Arabidopsis thaliana: one gene and its partner. The protein of the gene in region 2 interacts with the protein of the main gene of each other region in a pairwise test. Each region holds a gene or a part of one and is shown on either strand. Other genes may lie near its edges.

What was found. The genes of interacting proteins can lie anywhere in the genome.
Region 1: the proteins of AT4G05630 (region 2) and AT5G54067 interact in a two-hybrid assay, tested with the Arabidopsis thaliana proteins (one large-scale study listed by BioGRID).

The regions. Positions count from the first base shown.
Region 1 is NC_003076.8:21,938,886-21,943,744, reverse strand, and holds AT5G54067 (B3 domain protein), read left to right. Parts: upstream 1-1,598; coding exon 1,599-1,979; 3' UTR 1,980-2,143; downstream 2,144-4,859. Other genes in the region: AT5G54062 (egg cell-secreted-like protein), read right to left, coding at 4,265-4,859.
Region 2 is NC_003075.7:2,985,772-2,993,047, reverse strand, and holds AT4G05630 (B3 domain protein), read left to right. Parts: upstream 1-4,225; coding exon 4,226-4,600; downstream 4,601-7,276. Other genes in the region: AT4G05631 (uncharacterized protein), read left to right, coding at 430-480, 534-656, 738-909, 1,024-1,106, 1,179-1,192, 1,268-1,293, 1,376-1,437, 1,836-1,937 and 2 more.

The DNA.
Region 1 (4,859 bases), on a different chromosome or scaffold from region 2:
TTTTTTTTTAATAAAGAAGAGAGTTAAAAGATAATTTTGTTAGCTAGAGTTACAGGGCTGTGAGTCTGTGATCAGAGCTCTGTTATTCTTCTATATGATGATAAAATTCATATATTATTGTAGACGATGATAAAACTTATATTGAATTGAAATAGCAGCCATGCTTGTGAATATTAAAACTAGAAATTTTTACTGTAACGTCAATGTTATACGCACTAGAAAATCAAAATGCAATATAGAGTTTTAAGGAATATATAAAGAGACTTAATGGTCGATAAAGAGATCAAAAACAAACTTGTTATAGCGGTTGCATTGGTTGTGGCCGCAGGTGAAGAAGCGACGGTTACATAGGCGATAATGGATTAAACGACGAGCCTTGAGTGAATCCGGTGGGAAGATGAAAAAGGAAGAAACACCATGGCAGGTGAAATTCGACTATGCTCACATTGCAACCATTGCATCGGTCTAACTTCCTCTTTCATATACTCACATTTTTACGAGAATCAACCAAACAATCGTTGCGAGAGAAGCACTTGGATCCTACCTTCCATTGCACTTACTGTTTCCTTGTTTTAAGAGTGAAATGTTTGATTGTGATGGCTTTGGTTATCACAAGAAACAAACAATTGTATAGAGTAACTCAAGTTAATACTCATTACTGTTTATTACAATAGTTACATTTTAAAATTCGTCCGTTATGTCAACCTTTGAAACAAAACATGGAATAGAATTTATACCATGTTGACTGTTAACATTGTAGTAAATAAGATGTATTCAAAGTACTAAAAGAAGTAACAGTCTACTTTACTGACTAAACTTTACTAACTATATAACAGCAAAGTTTATAACTAATATAAAATGAAGCTTTTGGGCTACCTAACCGACATGCCACAACCAAATTTGTTGCTCTGCATGGGTCCTTTTGCAAGATTGGCACGACTCATAAAAATGCTCCCAAAAGTCCGTACTACAAAAAGTTTCGGAGGATTAAAACTATTCTAAATTTCTAATCTTATTCTAATTAAAATGCTCCCAAACGTACGTACCCTACAACAAGCTTAGCAACGACCTAAATTAAATTTCAGATTTTTTATACTTTTTGTTGAGTGAATATGATTACTTTGGGCTTGCAAAACACTTAAATATGTCAAATGGTCCGTTTATAGATTATTGAGCGTTTTCGTGTGGACAATTTCTTTTGTGGGCTGAAGTTGGGCGGTCCATAATGGATTACAACGATCCATTGGAGCCGGCTATGATACTATTGTAAATATTATATTGGTTCGGGGCAGCAATGTAATTGGTTGGAACGCTCAAAAAGAGATTGAGAATAGAAATGGAAATGATCTAAATCAATAATTTGCACAAAACTTTATTCTCAATTTACCAAGTGAAAGTTATCTAAATCTAATATTTTGCAAAAAGTTTACTTTCCAATTCCATATTAAGAGAAATCTAGATATTTAGACAATTTTCTAATTTGTTTCAAAAAGAGTTCTGATTTTTTCTCTTTTGTATTTTACCTTTTTTCTTAGGCTAAATCTCCTATATATATGTTTGAATAGAGAACGTAAGAAATATAAAAAAAATTAAGCAAGATGAATTACAACGATCCATTGGAACCGGCTATGATCATAACAAAAGTGCTATCAAAGAGTGATATCGTTGGTAATGTGGTATTACCGAAAGCAGAAGTGATGTCTGTCCTCACGAGGATGAATGTTAACGACCAAGATTTGCTAAACGGTGTTGAAGTGCAAGTCGACGACATAATGGAAGACGACTTATACACAGTTACGCTCAAAGTATCAGGTATCGATAAACCTAAATATTATTTCGGTACTGGTTGGAGTACTATGAAGCATTCGTTAGATCTCTCAGAAGGCGATGTTCTGAAACTCTACTGGAGTCACTTGGACAACAAGTTCGTTGTTTTGAATTTTCAGTATTCAGTACTTCCATTAATGATTCCAGTGTAGCTCGCTTGCACCTATCTTCTTTTCTGTTTTTGACTATTTATGTTTTGGATTTCATATCCTAGTTAAGTGCTGGCTTTTTTTGCCCTATCTTTTTGTTTCTCTTTTGTCAAACTTGATTGGATTATCTTGAATTTGAATTTCAATAAAACGTGGTTCACTTGCCCTACACATGTCCACACACAGACAAAAGTCTTTGACAATTATGTAATTTCCTGCTAGCGCTATTGTATGTGAGCCTAGTTCATGGTCCATCAATCGAGCCAGCCCAAAGTCACCTACTTTTACATTGAAATTGATGTCCAACATGATATTGCTTGCCTTGATGTCCCTATGCAACACACACCGATCTCCCTCTCCGTGAAGATCTGTGTGTCCTAGGTGAGATAAGGGGTCTTTTCTCAAAGAGGTGAGTGTCCAAGCTACCATTCGGCATGAACTCCTATATAAGCAAATACTCATCTTTTTCATTACACCAACACAATGGGCTGCACCAGGTTTCGATGACGCAGTTTGCTAATGATCTTAACTTCGGTTACAAACTCTTTCTTTCACTGCTTGGAACCACCAGACAATTTCTTCACAGCAACCATCATATCTATTTCGTTCAAGTACCATCTATAAACTGCCCCAAACCCTCCTTCACCAAGCTTCCTCTGGGCTGAGAATCTGTTGGTAGCTAAAACAAGATCCTTATAAACAAACCTCAATATCCAAACTTGAGATGAACTCCCATGATAAAAGCTTATGTCCCTCTGTGACCGATCCAGTAGCGGCTGAAAACCCGACCGTAACATGTGGTGGCAAAACCTTTGCAAGATCAATGATATAGGAAATGCCTAAACTCTCCTGAGGATCAGAGGTTAATTCATAAGCCCAAGACGCACTCAAATTCTTAGTAACAGAGTCATAGGAGATATGTGCATGACCAACATCTTGGATATGTGAGCTTGCATTCCAAGAAGTGTAGTTAGACGAAACAAGAGAGTTATTATTGATTCCCACATGAGATCCAACAGTGGTAGGATCCCATTCTTGGTTATTGAATGAGTCAAACTCGATATGAACCAGCGGAAACGAAGATGCGTAGCTCTCGATTCGAGAAAAAAAGACCCAAGAAATCACCAGCTGAGTTCACAGGAAGTTGAATCCGCAAAGGAGCAAGAAAGAAGCAGATCCCATGACCGTAATTCTAAAGGTTACGGGTATCAATCTTAAAGGAGAAACTGGTACTAAAATCTGTAGGCTTACCAGTTTTAGGATTCCAGAGAGGCACTTTCTCAGCATAAGTAACCCAAACACCCAACCAACACGAGCTATATACTCTACGTTGTTGAAGTTTACCGTCCCATCGGGTATTGCATCCCCATGGTAAACCACATCCTCAGGACCACCTGGGATTATCGAAAGGAAGGGCCTTTTCGAGCTTGAAGCTCCCATTACTCCATGACGCAATCTGTTGAAACTTCATTCTCATAGTGATCAATTAGCTTGATCTACCGAGGAAGATGACAAAAAATTTCATTCGAAACTTGAATCAAACGATTCAGGAGTTCTCGCTCGAATTTGAAAACCCCAAACACAGAATCTGCAGAACAGAAAATCGCACAATTGATTTGAAACGAAGATTCCTAATTCCCCGGTTTGATCGTACGAACTCAGTGAGATACCGCCGGTTTAACCAGATAACCATTCGGTTTAGATTTAGAAGAAATCTTCGGTTTAAGGAAATCGCCCATTTGGCATGGGCTTACAAATAAACAAGCTTTGGCGAATGGCCCATATCCCGCTAAATTAATGACCCATGGATTAGTTTGTTTTCTTGTAATGTCCCACATCGGTTACAATATTCAGGAACAGTGACTAAAGTCTACTATAAATAAAGATCGAGAGCATTTCTTTAATATTCACGGAGCCGAGCAGTGAAGACAAAGCGAGCTATTCTTTCGCCTTTTACTAAAGAATACCGTGTCTTCTCTGCATTTAATCGGCATACGCCTATTTTTGGAAAGGTTTATTACCAAAATTATAAACCTCCATCAATTAGAAAGTTTGAAAAGCTATTAACCTTAACTATTTCTCTAGGCTAAGTGATAGTCCAGTCTAAGTTGAAAGAAAGAGTCTTGAAGAAACAATAAAAAGTGTGTCGAAATTTGAATTTCTTTATAGCATTGTAGAAAATAATATAGGTAGAACAAAACAACATCCGCCAACATTTGGAATAGGGATAATTCATGAATTTAATGAGCCTAAATTAAAACATTGTGAATGATGGTCCCATAGCTACTTCACTTGTGTGTAGGAGCAGATGTGTTGATGCGAGAACATACATTTTTGAGGAGAGGAGGGAAGAACGGATTTAGTGGAAACATTTTTGGCCAACATTTTGCATCCACAGCCATAAACGCCTTGCAGCACATAAATCCTACGTTATCACACTTTCCTGTGAAAACTGATTTGTAGATTTCAGTTACACAACCTTGAACGTTGACAAGTGATGACAAACATTTTGTGAGATCGATCGGAGAACCAGGGATGACAGGGAATTGCGGTGTCTTGTGTGCTGGTGCACCTGAGATGATGCGAGAGCAACCATCCTTGAGAAGAGGAGGGAATAATGGATTCAACGGAAACATTTTTGGCCAACACTTTGCATCCACTTCTGTAAAAGCCTTGCAGCACGTGGATCCAACGTTTTCAAACTTACCGGTTAAAACAGATTTAAAGATTTCGATATTGCAACCGTGAATGTTGAGGAGCGATGACCAACATTTTGCGAGATCAACTTGGGAGCCGGGTAGAGAAAACCCAGCACTGGTAGGGAGTTGAGCTAGCCCGGGCTTCACTAAAGTAGTGGCACACAAAGTCACAACTAGAATCGTC
Region 2 (7,276 bases):
TAAGGGTTCTTCAAAGATTCAGTCTCAGAGGTAATTATCAGATTCTTAAGAGATAAGAAGAGCTAAAAGGATATGGTAATCAAAGGGTTAAATTCTGGTCATCATTGAGTTAGTGGCAGCTAGGACATTCCAAGTGAAAATGGATTAAAGCTGCAGCATCGTTTTGTGTTTGTTTGGTGGCAGTAGTGTTTTAAGGAAAAATGAAACAAGGCTGCAAGAGTTTGTGTATTAGTGTTCTCTGTTTAAACAGAGAAAGTAACAAGGACACAAGAAGCACCAAACAATTCTCAACTACAGTCTACAGATGAAGAAACATCTAGTGTAAAAGGAAATCAAGGTGTGACTGGTATAAACCAGTAAGAATGAAACCAAGGAAATTTTAAGTTGGTTTCTGGTTCTTATGGCTAAGTATGAGAGTCAAGAATAAAAATGGATCAGCTGGTTATAGAAACATCTAGACATGAAGACTCAAGAATAAAGGTCCTGCTTATAAATCTCTAGCATCATTCGGGTGTTTTCTTTGGAGTTTTCAGAAATGGTACATTCAAGTTAGTGTGAGAATTTCTGCAAATAAGAAAGGGTGGTGCTTTGTGAGATGGTTCCAGGAGACATCTGTTATGGTGGAAGAAATTCAGTATAAGGGTGTGAAGAGTCAAGTGTTCTAATGCTATAACAAGGTAGTGGTTGATCAGTTGGTCTCTAAGACTAAAGTATTCAATATAATATCACAAAATCAGATTGAGAGCTTCTCTAGAAGCAAACTGCTAAAGAGTAAAGAGACTGTTGGTGTAGCTACAAAGTGGAAAGAATTATGGATATATCAAGTGATAAGGTTCATACAGTCAAGCGCACAAGGTTTTATGATTGAGAATTATAGAGACAGTGACAAAGAGGCAGTTCGCTCGGCAAGTCAGAATTAATGTCGAGAGATACAAGCAACATCGATGGTTTAAAGTTTCAGGTGGAGTCATCAGTATTACAGGGAAGTAATACACGTTCGTAAAAGATGGTTTGTGATTTCAGGTGGAGCTTTAGAGTTGAGGAGTTTCTCGGTTATCTTAAGTACAAAGACAAGGTCTGAGTATACTGGGTTTTCAACGCATCAGGTGTTAGCTATGAGAAGAAATAAGTTGCTGTTTGGATATAATTCGGATTGGTCAAGTGTGTGAAGAAGACAGAGTTTCGAGAACGGGTAAGAGATGTCAGAAACGTTCAAGCATAAGAAGGTTGCAACAGGAGTTAAAAGGAAAGTTTTTCAGGTTTAAAGGATGCTTGATGGTAGTTCAGACATTGGTATATCAGTTGCATGATTAAGAAGATCAGCAAAGCTGAAGTACAAGCTCAAGATAAAAGTTTATTGAAGTGATTCTCTTAGGAGACGGTAAGAGACAAGTGCAAGGTCTTGCAAAGAATTTGTCTGCGGTTCATTCACCTCAAGTACGTGAATTGCAATGCATAAATCATGGTTTAAAAGATTCATCATAAGAGCTGGTATAGCAACTGAGAAGAATTCATCCAAGATAGGATGAGAATGAAGAAGTAGAACAAGGAAAAGTTCTGTTCACCTTTTTTGCTTCATAAGAAGTAACAAATAGGCACATGTAAAGGAAGCTTATGAGGATAAAGAAAGGATTCAGATTAATCTCTGATGGTTTTAAGATGCAAGTGCCAAGTTAGGTGAAGATTGCAAACGTGAGGACGTTTTGCAGAGTGTTTTTTTTGCAGCAAGGAAGCGACTTCGAGAAGTTCTAGAGTGAAGTTCAAGGGCTGTAAAGGAGAAGTCTCAGGCATGTCACAGGAGTGTTGATATGAGACAAGTTTAAAGAAGCTAACAGGGGTTCAAATCTGTTGGATTGAAAGGGTTTGCTGATTCAGAAGGGTTTCGAACCAGATTGAGCAAAAAGAGTTGTATCGGAAGTTTTCCTTTCTCTGTGAAAGTTAGGAGGCATGTTTTGTTGGTAACATAGGCGGTGCAAAGTGATGCTCAAAGTTCAAACAAATCACTGTAAGTACAATCTCTAGTTAAATACATTTTACTACTAACGGGTTATTGGCTTAGATTGTTTTGCAGGATGAATCATTGACTGTTTCAGGATAGAAAAGCACAAGCGATCCAAGATATTTTTGCATAATGATTCAAGGGAGAATTTGATTCAAAGTTCAGTGCACATGAAATGAATCAAAGGGCTAGCGAGGAATCGATCTGCAGAGGTTAAAAAAGGATCCAGGCTGTGAAGGAAACAAGTGAAGCAAACATGAGTTTTTTGTTGACACAAGTCTGTGTTAAAGTTGGTTCACAACTCAAGAAGTGATACTAGAACGTCGATGGTTCGGGAACGTCGGTGTGATTCACATCACAGCTATTTTTTTTCCATCGAAGATATGTTCACTAATGGTTGTTGAAGTGTGAAGATTGGAGTTGTCAAGGTTAGAGCAAGTTTAAAGGGTTCTAAGGAGCAGCTGCGAGGAAGTCTTCAAGTAGAATCAAGACATGTTGATTTTAAGATGCATTGAGGAAACAATTTTTCAAGGAAGCATTGAAGTTGAACGGTGAAGTTCAAGATGAGCGGTGAAGCTCAAGTACCGGAGATGGAATCCAAGAAGCTAGATAAGGAGCGTGAAGAAGATCGATGACAAGGTGGAGATTTGAAGGTTTAGTGTCATCCGATCTCAAGATATATGCTAAAGTGTGATAAGTATCTGAAGCAATCAGAGGGTTTGACCCAAGCTTCCTTCATTGGCTCACGTGAGAAGCACACACGTGAGATTAGTAATAAGTCACAACTAGAAGGGTAAAAGGGTCTTTTATCATTGGCTCTGTATCTTCTTCTTCTCTACTCTTCTTTGAGTATGTAACAGAATGAAACAGATAAGAGAAGCGTGACAACGAGACTACGCAAGTCGACGAGAGACGTGAGCTTAGAGTTAGAGGTAGAGAGAGTAACTGGTTTTGTGTTGGTGAGTGAGAGAAAGCTTGAGAGTGACTGTAATCCGGTGAGCGATTGTAACGGTCACTTGTATGAGCTCGAGTTTGAGCTATGATCTAGTGGATTCCGGAGTCAATCTCCGGCGAGACGTAGGGTTCCACACCGGAACCTGAACTCGTAAAATCTCGGTGTTCTTTGTTTGCGTTTTTTCTATTTTCTTTCAAATCCCTAAACTAAGTCGCAAGTTCTAATCGGAAATTATAGATTAGGCTTCACAATAATCTTGTAAAGTTTCTTAAACAATCTCTCTATTTTGATAATATTTTTCATTACTTTTTATGACTTTATTTTGTAAACAAAAATATAGAAAGTCATGAACCAATAACATAATAATTTAAATCATTAACAATAAGAGATTCTTTTGTTTTAATTGAATACCACAAAACTCTTACTGACTTTATAAGAATATGAATCCAATAACCCCAAATTTATGAAGATTTTAGATTACTTTTTACAAATCTTAAATGAATAACACAAAACATTAACATAGTTTTATATTATCTTGATTGAATAACAACATATTTTACATGACATTTTAAGTCAATAAAACTCCTTTGAAATCATAAACCAATAATATCCCCTAAAACTTAACTATTACTTTTGTTGAAAGAGAAAACATGTTCAATTAATAATGAATCTATTATACTCATGAAAATATTGTGTATATATATTCTAACATATAATTCACTGATTAACATATTACCCATATTTCTAATGAATGTAATTAAAGTTTATGTGCCACAATAGTTTGGTCAAAAAGAAAAACTATTTATTGTCTTAAGTAAAAAAAAAATCTTACAGAATCTTATAGAGTTAAATTTGCAAGCTCACAACTACATGAGCCAAAAAAATGTCAAATACTTAAATGACATTTACTTCAAAACTTTTTGATGTTAAGTCAGCCTGTCAAAATTTATTTCACTTTAACACGTGTTAGAATTCAATAACTACAAAACTATATATGTCATAATATTATGAAACTATATATCAAACAAAATTAGTGTTATTTGGGTAAGACAAAACATATTCAATTAATTAATTTTAATCTAACTTGAAAACATAGTATCTCTCTATTGGTATAAGCTCTTAATTACAATTAACCACGTACATAAGTACAACTTATTGTCACTATATATACCCTTAACACAAACAAATATTTTTATACAAACCTTGCATAAGCCTTTACGGAGTAAGGAACATTGAAACCCGATTTTTCATATATCTTTCTGTTCTAACTCATGGCGAATTTTCCAGATAAGCAGTATGACTCAAACAACCCATATAACATCATGATAACGTTGTCACCATTTGACGTCGATAGGAGTACTACGATAATGATGCCAAAAGCGTTACTAGAAACCAATTTATTTCCTTTCATGGAGATAAGTACTCTCGTCCAGTTGTTACAAGTTCAAGACAAGCCAAAGATGATTGGAGTGTATGATATTGATACTCAAATTACAACATATGTAATCATAAGACAAGATGGAAATAATTTTAAATTTCATGGATGGAATGATATTCTAAAAAGAAAACATTACAAAGCAGGCGATACTATTGCATTTTGGTGGGATCTTCGTCATACTAGACTAAATTTCAAACATGTTGCTTAATTGATGGAGCGAATCTTCACAACTTCATTTCTCGGATATGCATCTATACCGGGTTTGTCTGATCGAGTCCAGTTTGTTGTCGTTTTATTATGTTGGTTTAATTCCTGTTTCTAGAGAACATGTTTTTCTCTTATATTTATAAATATATATATTTGGATTTATAAGATAATATATGTAAATAATAAAAGAGTCGAGAGAAACAATTTCTCCAAATTTTTTATCTATACATTCAAATTTAATATAATATTTTGATAGTAAATCATAAAAAGGAATTGTTTGTGGTAGAATCATTTGTGTAACAGTTCTCATAATTTGCAATAAATAATAAATCAAGACAGCAAAACAAAAATTAATATGTATTAAAATTTAATTTATTTTAACACGCGTTAATCTAACTAATACAATTTCTATGTGCCTAAATATTTTGGCTTTTAAAAAGGTTATATGCATGTTGTAACAAATCTGATGACATTTCTGAATTATACATAATCGGCATCTAATTTATATTTTTTTTATCAGTTGCTATAATAACTAACTAGATTTTGACCCGCGGTATACCGCGGGGCTAGGTTTTTAATAAAATTTGTTATATAAAATGTATATGTAGATATTTGTTTTATTAATATTGTTTGCTTTGTTTAGTGTTTAAGATAATGTATATATAGATTTTAATTGTTATATCTAGGATTTCATCCGTAGTATATCGTTTTGTATTATTATCGATCAAAACCCGTCATACCATCTAATCATGCACAGTGAAATTAAACATATCTAATGGATTTCACTTGTAGTATACCATCTCGTAATACTGTCGACCAAACCCGTCCTACCACTAACCCTGTTCAGTAAAATTAGACATTATTTTGTGATTTTTGTTTTAATAATACTTTAATTTAAAAAATATTTAATTCAAATCAATTTAAAAGTTTTCTTTCAAATATTTCTTTAATTGTTATAAAGTTTATATATTATAATATTATAAACACGTCATACCATCTAGTCCTACTATCTAATCATGTTCGGTGAAATTATTTTTTTATTTTTTTAATAATATTTTTATTAAAATATTTATAATTTAAATCAATTTAAAGTTTTCTTTCGAATGATTATTTAATTTTTAAATCTTTTAACCATTTTGGCAAAAATAATTAGGCCATGGAATAAGAGCATATTCTTTTGAATAAGATTTGCTTTTATTTGGTAGTTAATTTTCGCATTGAATAAGCCGGTGACAGCCATTGTAAATAAGTTCCAACTCCAGGATTTATTTCACAAAATGGCTGCAAAAATGTATATAAGATAACCAATTAAATTAATTAAACCAAAATAACATAGAACAAGAGAAAGAGAAACAAAAAGATCCATGTTCTTATAGAAGGATCTAGAAGATCCATATGATCCAAGAAGATATTATGAATATATTCTAGAGATATGTATATATCTTATATGATTCTATTAGTTAGATAATTAGATTAATTCATTTTCTATATAAGTGTATCCCTTATGTTTGTTAGAGATTAATTTGCGGTACATCGCGAGCCTATATGTTAATTAAATAAAAGATTAATTTTTTTAGGATGATCTATGTATACGCTATTATTTTGTTTGATTTAAATGTACGGTCCACTGCAAAATAATATTTTAGAATTAAAAAATTATAAAATTTAAGTTGTATTTGTTTCGTTACTATTGTCTATATATATAGTCTTGCGCTATTCTAAGCTTATGAATGAAACCTTGTTCATTTTCTCTTGGGTTTTAGGGTTTTGAATACAAATTTAAGTGATTTGTTTGTTATTTCTTGCTAATTATTCAACTAAGCGGATTAGGTTTCATTTGATCGGTATATATATGTGTGCATATGATTTAAGTTTGACTAATGCTCAATGAAAATATATCTTTGTGTCATTATATATATGCTTAACACATTAACAAAATTTCTAACCCAAACCTTACCTAGATATCTCTAAGAAAAAGAACACTTAAAACTGATACCCATATATCTTTGTGTTCTAACTCATGGTAGATACCGAGCTGTATCCAGATGAGCCGCGCGTTTAATGTGGACAGCCCTTGGATACCCATAGATCTTTGTGTTCTAACTTAAGGTAGATACCGAGCTGTATCCAGATAAGCCGCGCGTTTAATGTGGACAGCCCTTGGAACATCTTGATAACATTAAACACCATCAAACATAGGTTTGAGTAATATGATAACGTTCTCAAAAGAGATAGTAGAAACCAAAGTGTTTCCTTTCCTAATTCCGGCCTATGAATATTTTCATAGGTTATTTGGACTTTTCGATTTTGAATTTAATTATAAGAACTCTTATCATAAAAGAAGATTTAAATGGAAATTTCCAATTTCATGGATAGAGTATGGTTCTCCAACTAAACAATTACAAGACAAACGATATGATTGGGTTTTGGTGGGATGCCAATAACTCTAGATTGAATTTCCAACTACTCTTGATTGCTTACTTTATGGAATGGATCTTTGCAAAATCATTTTAGATTGAATTTCCAACTACTCTTGATTGCTTACTTTATGGAATGGATCTTTGCAAAATCATTTGTATAATATGTTTAGTTGCTTTTTTAAAATTATTTCATTCCGAAAATTTGTGTATTCTATGTTGTATTCATCAAGTTGTTTAATATTTCTATCATAAGTCTT